Linked DNA regions of Arabidopsis thaliana. Each later gene encodes a partner of the first gene's protein in a complex. Each region holds a gene or a part of one and is shown on either strand. Other genes may lie near its edges.

Evidence for each region.
Region 2: RSZ21 (region 1) and U2B'' share a complex: the UniProt entries of both Arabidopsis thaliana proteins name them as parts of the spliceosome.

The regions. Positions count from the first base shown.
Region 1 is NC_003070.9:8,426,346-8,431,559, reverse strand, and holds RSZ21 (RS-containing zinc finger protein 21), read left to right. Parts: upstream 1-2,074; 5' UTR 2,075-2,299; intron 2,300-2,318; exon of another isoform or gene 2,319-2,375; 5' UTR 2,376-2,395; coding exon 2,396-2,484; intron 2,485-2,556; coding exon 2,557-2,645; intron 2,646-2,741; coding exon 2,742-2,955; intron 2,956-3,160; coding exon 3,161-3,325; intron 3,326-3,462; coding exon 3,463-3,469; 3' UTR 3,470-4,303; downstream 4,304-5,214. Other genes in the region: AT1G23850 (uncharacterized protein), read left to right, coding at 4,515-5,214. UniProt on the Arabidopsis thaliana protein: Probably involved in intron recognition and spliceosome assembly.
Region 2 is NC_003071.7:12,904,845-12,909,680, forward strand, and holds U2B'' (U2 small nuclear ribonucleoprotein B), read right to left. Parts: upstream 2,822-4,836; 5' UTR 2,591-2,821; coding exon 2,518-2,590; intron 2,179-2,517; coding exon 2,006-2,178; intron 1,406-2,005; coding exon 1,312-1,405; intron 1,199-1,311; coding exon 1,110-1,198; coding exon of another isoform or gene 1,050-1,109; exon of another isoform or gene 983-1,049; coding exon 713-982; 3' UTR 501-712; downstream 1-500. Other genes in the region: WRKY25 (WRKY DNA-binding protein 25), read right to left, coding at 9-245; AT2G30270 (LURP-one-like protein (DUF567)), read right to left, coding at 3,183-3,308, 3,601-3,801, 3,992-4,213. UniProt on the Arabidopsis thaliana protein: Involved in nuclear pre-mRNA splicing.

The DNA of each region.
Region 1 (5,214 bases):
CCCATCAATTTTGTTTACGGTTCCAGTTTTTGTTTTTATGTATTTTAAAAATATTTCAATGTATAGTTTAAGTAGCTATATTGAATCTATGATTTGGTAAGACATGAGAAATTTATATCAAAGTGGCGGTGTCCATGTATACAAAAATCTAATGTTGACGACAAGTCGTTTCATGTTAACAAAAAAAATACCGACTAGTCACATCTCTACAAAGTGCAGGTAACGTTTTAAGAAATAATTATCATAATCCGTTGGCAAAAAAAAAAAAAAAAAGACTAAAACAATTTAATGTATTGGTCAAAAAACAAAACTTCTACACACGATCTAAGACTATATCCATATTGATAAGATGAATTGAATCGATATATATTCTTACTTTAACAAAAAAGAAAGATCATTAGAGTTATCTTGTCTTACTAAAAGTCTTAGATAAAGACATAAAAATGGAACAAACATCATTGGGAATGCAACATGCATGTACATATTACATATAGTAAATATAATATAGTTAAAAGCGAAGTCATTATTATATGACTAAACTAAGATAATTAAAACATGTAAGCACACATTATCGGGAATGTATTGATATTAAAAGGGCACCACGTAGGTCAGGGTGGCCTCTCAAACCCCCCAAGGGACAAAGCAGCATTAGGATTGTCACTAAAGTACTAACCATGTGTTATTTTACGATATTATCCCCATTTGGTGTTAATGGTTCCAAGTGTCAATGTAAATAACGTTGACATATATAAGCCGTGTTTTGTTTTCACGTTGTTTAGGAAGCCAACGAGGATTGGGTAATTGGATCCGAATCAGATTGACACTTTCTTCTTCTTTACTTTTCTTGCTCTTCCACTTGACAATACCAATTTAGGGCTTGGCTGGATACAAATGTTTTTATCCTTCTTCAACCCGTTATCCGTTTTACTAGACTTAAAAAAAAAAGAATAGTATGTGTAAATATGATACATGATATCATGCATTTGTTAACTACGATAAAAAAAATCGAATATCTATATTGTCCATTTTGCAGATATCCCTTTTAAATATCTAACTAAATATCTGTAAATGTGAGGTTTAAAATTGAAATCCGTATATTTTTATTGATATGCACAACGATAGTTACAATAAGTAACATGACACTAATAATCACTCCCCAAAATTTTTATACAATTAGATATAATTTTAAATACTAATATTCTATAAATATTTCACAATTTTAGAAATTTTGATACTAACCAATTAATGTTAGCTTTGGATAACGAATGAAGTTATGGCCATCTTATTTCTTCTGAGCCATCTATTTAGCCATAGCCATCCAAAAATTAAAGAGTATCTTATTCCTCCCATGTCCAGCTTAAGGGACAAGCCAGGGAATAGCGACACGTGTAAATTGAATGTCGATTTTGTAAAAGGAGGTAAGTGGGGTCTACACAGTGGCTGCAAATAAACGAATCATAACTAAACACGTGTCAAAGACACAGTCTTAGAGGAGTCGATGTAAGTGGGACCCAGCATGACTTATCTTGGTTCAGAATGTTTTCCCCAATGGATAAGTGTCTTTTTGTTTTTGGTGGGATGATGAAACCTTTTCTATTTACGTCGACGCAATTTTAAACAATGAGACTCTTTTTTTTTTGTGTGTGTGCAATCGTTTAGAGACTTGTTCACATGAATTAGGTGCCCAATCATGTGTAAATTGGTAAGGTATATGTAAAACTAACAATTGTTACACTTGCCAACTCCAAACTTAGATTTAATCAGCCTACTATATTTTGAAAATTTAAGAAGATACAAGTACTGATGCAAAAGTTGAAAACCAAAACCAACTCATATGGGCCATTAAGCAACTGAAACTTGCTCATATTTTTAAAATTTTAACCAAAAGGTTATGGGTTTTAGGCCCATTAGTTTTTTTCAGACTGAGAATCACGTCAAGTTACAGTAATTAGACATCAAACTCTAGAAACATGTTTGCATAACTTTTGTTGTCAAAGATGTTTTGCATAGTTTCAAAATCCGCTTTCACCTCAATTCTCTTTTTACGTTAACTAATCGACTATGGGAGACTAGTCTTACATTTTGGTCGCTAAAACTTTGTTTATGAATATATGGATTACCGAAAAATAAGGGACCATGAAATAACTAATAAATGACCAAATAATATATGATGTTAATTTTTTTTTACTTTTCAGTTTTCATATAATAATGAAATAACTTGGTTACTCTCTTTCCTCGCCGTAGTCTGAGTCTGAACCCTAAAACATCCCGCTTCGCTGCTCAGGACCAAGAATCTCAGGTACCTTGTTAACTACTCGCTGTAACTATTATCGATATCCATATTTCTTCACAAAATTCGATTCTCTTTCGTTCAGATTCAACTGATCTTTGCAACATGACGAGGGTTTATGTCGGGAATTTGGACCCACGCGTCACCGAAAGAGAACTCGAAGACGAATTCAAGGCCTTCGGTGTTCTTCGCAAGTAAGTCCTATCTCTGTACTCAATTTTGTTTCAAGCCATACGAATTATGACTCTGAATCTTAAAAATCGCAGTGTCTGGGTAGCTCGTAGACCTCCTGGCTACGCATTCCTCGAGTTCGATGACGAAAGAGATGCTTTGGATGCAATCAGCGCATTGGATCGTTAGTGTTCTTCTCATTAGACCTCTTAGTTACCATGTAATGTTTGTATTATTGTTTGGTCATTGAAAAGTTTTACTCTTGTGGCGTATACTTCAGGAAAGAATGGGTGGCGTGTGGAGCTTTCTCATAAAGATAAAGGAGGTCGTGGAGGTGGTGGTGGTCGTCGTGGAGGTATTGAGGATTCCAAGTGCTATGAGTGTGGTGAGCTTGGACATTTTGCTCGCGAGTGTCGCCGTGGTCGAGGCTCTGTGAGGCGTAGAAGCCCTAGTCCCCGTCGTCGTAGGAGTCCAGATTATGGGTATGCTCGCAGGTAACGATCCAACGGAAACATTCTTATTGAGCTGCTTAGATGAGATAGTATGTCATTAGTATGTCCATTGTGTTAACATATCCATTGAAATTGCACTTTGTAATCATGTATAGGGGCTGAGTTGTTAATGTTGATAGTACCTTTCTTGATGTTATAATCGCTTTGTGACATACATTTTTGTTCCTGTGGAATTGATTTTGTTCAGGAGTATAAGCCCGCGTGGAAGAAGATCTCCTCCAAGGCGTCGCAGTGTTACTCCACCTCGCCGTGGGAGGAGCTACAGCAGATCCCCTCCTTATCGTGGTTCACGCCGTGATTCTCCTCGCCGCAGAGACTCGCCCTATGGTCGACGTTCGCCATATGCCAATGGGTAAAAGTTCTTTTCTCTTCTTGGATTTAGGTTTACTTTCTCAATCTGCATGACTCAACTTCAGCATTGTCTATGTAGATGTGAATAACATTTGAAGTATTTTGATATAAGGTATATATTCGTTTGCGTTTCTGCAGGGTGTGAAACTGGACCCTGAAGAGAAAGAAGCTATTACTAAGCTATGATGCTATATCTACTCTGTGGCGCCTTTTAGGATAGATCTTTATATCTGCTATTATGGTATTAGCTCTTCTAGGTTTGGTTGTTGAGCATGGACATGTCATGGTATGTTCGAGTTTTATTAGACAATTGGATTTGGTGAGTTCTCCTTCATGCTGTTTTCCAACAGCCGTCTTGACTTATTCTCTATAACACGCACTGGCCTGCTGTCTTCACACAGCGTCCTTGAACCCCTACACTTGAGGTCGTTCTTTCGTATCCATAAATGTTTTGTCTCTTGTTGAATGCACTTTCCTTATTATATAGACATATCTAAAAAGCTCAACTGTTTCCACTCTTTTTCCCTTGTGAGGTATGATTTATCGGGGATCTCTTGGCAGCACAGCTGCATCTTACTCTCCCCACAACTTAGTTTTATCATGAATCTGCATCCTCAACTCGACCAACATCAGCTAGAATTTGCTTGTTACATTGTGTGACTTTTAGATTGCCCTGCTCTTTACTCACCACTCCTACCCCAAGTCTGCAACCAAGCTTCTATTGAGAAAGACGAATCTGTTTCTTCACCCCGTCCTCTTCCTAGCTCTCGGCTGCTATATCACCACTTGGTTTCTCTACTCACTTTTGTTTTTCGGTCAACTTTGTTACACATCTGTTGGTGGATCACACACTTACATTAAATTAAACCCATTTGTGGATGCTTCTTTTTTATATTGCTTGTGAAAAACGTGTTAGCTTAGTCTTTTGTGTTCATGATTTGGTTTCCCACTTATGCTTTTCTTTTCCCAATTAATCTCGACTTTTAATCTGTTCTTCTTCGGCCGCCACATGTTTTCATTTTAATACTTTTCTAAATTTGGTTTTGAGGCAATTTGGTTCAGATTTGTTGGTATACCAATTCTTACGTCAACGTCAATGAAGAAACGACTCCATATTTACGAATAAAAAACTGTAGTAGATCTGTACTCTCCCTTTTTCTTTGTAGAGAAGAAGAGAACTGTGAAAGAAGATGAAGATTGAGGAGGATCTAGGTTTCATCAACATACTCAAACGAGCAACAAAGCTTCTATGTGGTAACATCAATCTTGTTCTCTTCCTCTTCCTTTGCTCTCTCCCCCTCTTTTGTTTCTTGATCTTCTTCGAGCTTTCACTCCAAACCACTGTCTCACTCGCTTCTCAATACCTCGTTCGACAACTCACTAATTGGGATTACTACTACGTTCCTCAAGATGCTTCCGTCTTGGAGAATCTGATTCCATTGCTTATCCAGACATTTCTACTCTACTTGTTCCCGTACGGCCTCATAGACCTCTTCACCACCACCACAATAGTCTCTGCATCTTGGACTGTTCACACGTCGGAGGAGGAACCGTTAAGGTTCGGTCAATTGGTTCGGAGAACGGTAGAGATATGTCAAAACAGACTTGAAGGTTGTCTGATCACCTCTCTGTACGTCCTTCTCTTGTCAACCCCTGTTTTCTTTGGCTTCTTATTTGTAGCAACGAACTATTTCCACATCATTTCTCTGACCGGATCAGGCGAAAACTCATACTACTATTCTATAAACATTGAAGAAGATGCCGAAGGCTATTACAGAAGCAGCAGTGTCAACAGTCCGGTAAAGATGTTGTTTGATGCGGTTTTAGCTATGTTTCACGGTGCTATCTTTCTCGGTTTACTGGCGATGTTCAGCAAGTGGAGTGCGGGAT
Region 2 (4,836 bases), on another chromosome or scaffold:
TTTATTACGTGTGAGGAGCTGAGAAGCAGAGGAGAATCAAGGTAATCGGAGAAAGTGAAGTTATGAGAAGATTGTGAAATCGGAAGAGGTGGTGGTTGAGCCGTCTTGAACTTAGGTAAACCAGACCCGGTTCTCTCTGGATAGTACCCACCAAAACTCGACCCAGAAACTCTCAAGTCTTCATCATCTTCGTAACAGTCAACGCCGGAAGAACCAAGAAGGTCGGTGAAAGAAGTGGAAGACATGATGGTCTTTAATAAAGGAGACAACTTTAAGATTTCTAAAACAGAGGATTCGCTAAAAAAGGAAACTTTTTTATGAAATTGATCTTGAAATGAAAAAGAGGATAAAACTAAAAAAGAACAGAGGCTTTTAGATTGGGTTAAAGACGACGACGGTGGCGTATTGAGCAAGGTTTTTTTTGTTTCTCTCTCTTCTTGTCTTTTTCTACTTTGGCCTAAATATCATTTTTGATTTTAATATTTCTATAAAATGGTTGACCAGTAAGATATTCTTTTTTGATGAGTCGTCTCCTAATTTGTGATAAATCGTCAAGTGTGAAACCGCGTTTCAAGGGTCTCTTTCAATGATTAAACCAAAACCGGATTAATCCGTTAACCAATAGAACCGTTGGTTGGTTATACACACCAGGTTTGGTTGGTCCAGTACTATCGTCTTAAAGGACAACAAACAAACAAAAACAAGACTCTTATCATTTCTTGGCGAAAGAGATGACCATTGGATTCTGGGGAGTGATTTTGAAACCTTGAAGAGGTTGCATAGCTATGGAAGCTTGAACATCATCTTCGTACTCTACAAACGCGATTCCTGGTTTTGCGTCGATCATTCTTATCTCTTTGAATCCAGGGTACTGTTCGAAGAGAAGCTGTAGCATCATGCTTGTTGTCTCGTGTGGGAGATTCTGAATGAAGAGTATGTTGTTTGGTGGCATTGTTTCTTGCCCGCTCGGCTGGAACGAAGGCTGCATTAAGAAGAGCAGAGATAAAACGCAAAACATCAGCATCATCTCCAGATAACAATAGTTTGGTTCACATGATCCAACAATGGAAGATTTTTCTGAAGATGAAGGTGAGAACAAGAACACTTACCGCAGGGACTCCGTTATTGGCACTTGGACCATTAGCACTTGGGCCATTAGCCGTGTTTGGTCGTTGGGAATCTTCACGCTTTCTTTCAACTGAAAGTAAGAAAGGAAGTTTGTTAACTTTAGATGCAAGTGAAAATTTTATAGTTGTATCATTGAACCAACATCTACGACAAAATGCAAAAAGAAGAAATAAAGTTTAAAACCTTTTTCTTCTTGCTTCCTCTTCTTATCTTTTGGAACGAAAGTTCCCTCAGCTTTAGCTAGACAATCTGACTTTGCTTTTGCATATTGTAAGCGCTGCACTTAAAAGATCACATAAAAAGTATGAATAATAATAAATCTCAACCTGATTGGAAGTAGTTGAATAGTTTACAAACAATCGAAAGAGGTAAGATTTAGTTATAAAAACAATGTATATATCAAACAGAACAAACATTTTGACAACAGAAATCATAAGAGAATGTGATTTGAGAAGGTCAGCAACAAAATCCAAACACACATATAACTAAATGTTGATTGAGAATAACACAGTCAAAGGTAATCATTGGTAATCACATAAACACACTAAGGATTTCTGCTTTTACCGCATCAATCAATCTATACAACACACAGAATATCACTTCCAGGGAAATTATACAGAGATTGATATACTCAAGACAGAAAAGGTAGTGGATACTAATCATTGGTTACTCATCAACAGCAACAAAATCTAAACACATATATGACTACCAATGGATTGGGAATAGAAAAAGGTCAAAGGTTCCAAAACAAATTGTTAGTAATCAATTACACAAACACACTAACGATTTGCTTCTATCGATCTATACAACACATAGAAGATCACTTTCATGGAAACTATAAAGAGATTGATATACTCAAGAGTGATGAAATACTGACCATTGGTTTATCATAGAAGGGAAAATTTTGCATCTGACGAACAGCATGACCAGCAGCAGTGACTTCACTAAAAGTAACCCAAGCTTGTCCTCGGAGCTTCGGAGTCTTCAAAGCAACCACATCAAGTATCCTCCCAAACTGAGAGAACAAACAGTAAAGAGATCTCTTCAATTCTGAGAAAACAAAAACCAAGTCAGATAAAGCATGAGATTGATGATACTGCCCTGAGCCAACACTACTTCACACGTCTATAACAATTATCCATACAATGGCGAAAACAGACAACACCAACATATATATCTTCCTTATAACCTTGTCACTAGATTCAATACGATTCTGAAACCCTAGTATTTAGAAACGAACACTCTATATAAGCTAAAAACAAGCAAAAACCCTAACATTCAGTACTGTAGAAGCTTGAATCATTGGTACAGGAAGTTCATGGAGGTTTCAACATCTAAGAATTTGGAAATTTACTTGACGAATTAGATTAAACGAGAAGAGAAGTTTACCCTCTTTCTTGATCCTTTCGTTGAGGTTTTGGATGTAGATTGATTGATTCGGTGGTATATCTGCCGTTAACATCTTCGAGTGAGCTCGTGAAGACGATGAAGATTCTCGAGACTGAGGAATTTAGAGAGAGCCCTAATGGTGGGAACTGGGAATGAGAGAGACGAAGAAGAGTAAAAGAAATAGCTGCGTTTCAACATCAGACTATTTAACGACGCCGTTTAGTTTGTTGGTTCGATTTCCTAAACTTTTGTACCAACGTGAATGAGCCGACCGGATGGACCGGATTTGAATTTGACCGGCTAGACAGAATTGAACCGGAAATAGAATGAGTGGTCGGGATTGGACTTTTATAGACTCGAGATCAATTTTTTTATTGCAAAATTCCAACAAAAGTCTTGTGAATCATTTTGATTCAAATGTTCAACAACTTTTTAAAATAATGTAAATGATGTTGTATTTTTCCAGCTGAGCTTGCAAATTTGTTCTGAAAAAAGATTTAACCTTAGACCTTAGTATATCTCAATATTCATGTGATAGATAATACAATTCACGTGTGAGCCGATTGAATCAAAAGGCATTAAAAATGCAATGTACTAAAATGCCTTTTTGTTTCTGTGTTACATTTTTCTTTACACTGAGAAAATAAATCGAGGATGTTTCACTTTCATCCTTGAAGAAATATGGCAACCATTGCGACTACTAGTGAATGATCGATGGATCCAGGAAATATCGTTAACCGGAACTTGCTTCTCCCTACGTAAATCTGTCTCAGCTTGTACATCAAACTCGTCTGCCACCACATTTAAAGGAACATAAATCAGATTGAGGCAAATGTTCAAACACAACAACAACAACAAAAATCTTTAAAACAAGTGTATTAGAATCCAAGCAAATTTTACAAGCCTAATGAATCCGACTTCAAATGAACGAAACAAAGGGTTGGTTGTTTATCCATCAGCAAGCATGATCCAAACGATGAGTTTTGAACCCGGTAATCAAAACCAGTATAACACGGTATTGACTCTTGTCTAGCTATAGAATGTTCAATAGTGCTGTAATTGGGAGAAGATGAGTATCTTTACCTGTGCAACAATGGAATCTTGACTATAAATGGTACAAGATTTCTGAAAGGGAACACCTTTGATAACAAGATTTTCGGACGATTCTCCAGCAAAAGAGACCTCTGACTCTGTCTTACTGAATCTTTTCGATGTCCGCTTCACCGTTAGAACCAAATCCTTACGCTTTTCCACATCTCCTTTATGTAATTCCCACACTCCATTCTACATTCCAATACATATACAAAGATCTGTAAGTGTTCTTATGATATATCTCAAGCCAGTGACTAACTAACAAAACCCAAACAATCAAAAAGTATAAACATCGTGTGGACTATGTAATGAATAATGAGATTTAAACAAGTAGCGATGAGAATTGCCAAAATCGATGAAATTTGGGACGAAGGAGGCTTACGTGGAGACGAGAGATGGAGAAGAGAGGAACTCCGGAGGAATCAAGGAGAGATTTCAAGGAGGAAGAAGATTTGCGGAGGATGAAGACGAGATGTTCGGAAGAATCGGCAAATCCGAGATCGCCGGAGGAAAGTCCGGGAAGCTTTTTGGAAGCGAAGAGATCGACTGGTATACGCCGGAGATCCTCAGGGTCGGGGTGATACGGAGTCTCGGAATCAGCCATTTACATAGTCTCTAATAACAGTCAGAAGCGTAAGGTAGAAGAAGAACAAGAGAAGCAGCTTATATTCAACGCCAATGTTTTTTTTTGTTCTAATGATGTCGGATCAGATTTTTTTTTTTGCGGCGAAACATTCTTCTTACACCAAAAAATAATTCAGATGAATAAAATTAAGCAAGTAAATAATTGGATGTAGAAGCCAAAGATAATAAAATAGTAATGATAATTTTCTTTTACGTTCTTGAGATACCAATTCTTGTTTTTTTTTTCACACAAAACTGAAATGCAAAAAAAAAAACTAAAAAGTAATAACACATTTTTTTGATGTTTGATCTTGATTAATAAATTAATAGAAAATGGTAAATGTGTTACTTACATTAGGTTGGAAAAACGTATGGTTTAACATATGTGTTTGTTGGAAAAGATACATTTTTAGTGAACATACCTTTGACATGAATTGATTTATAAAGGTTTTTTTTTTTGCATTTCCATCCCTCTCAAATGTTTGTTTTAAAAAAACTAAGAATTATGTATAATCTTTCAAAATGTATTGATTTTATTTTTTTTTTATGTTTTCTGTAGAATATATATATGATGATCTACTCTGTTCAAAACATCACCCTTAC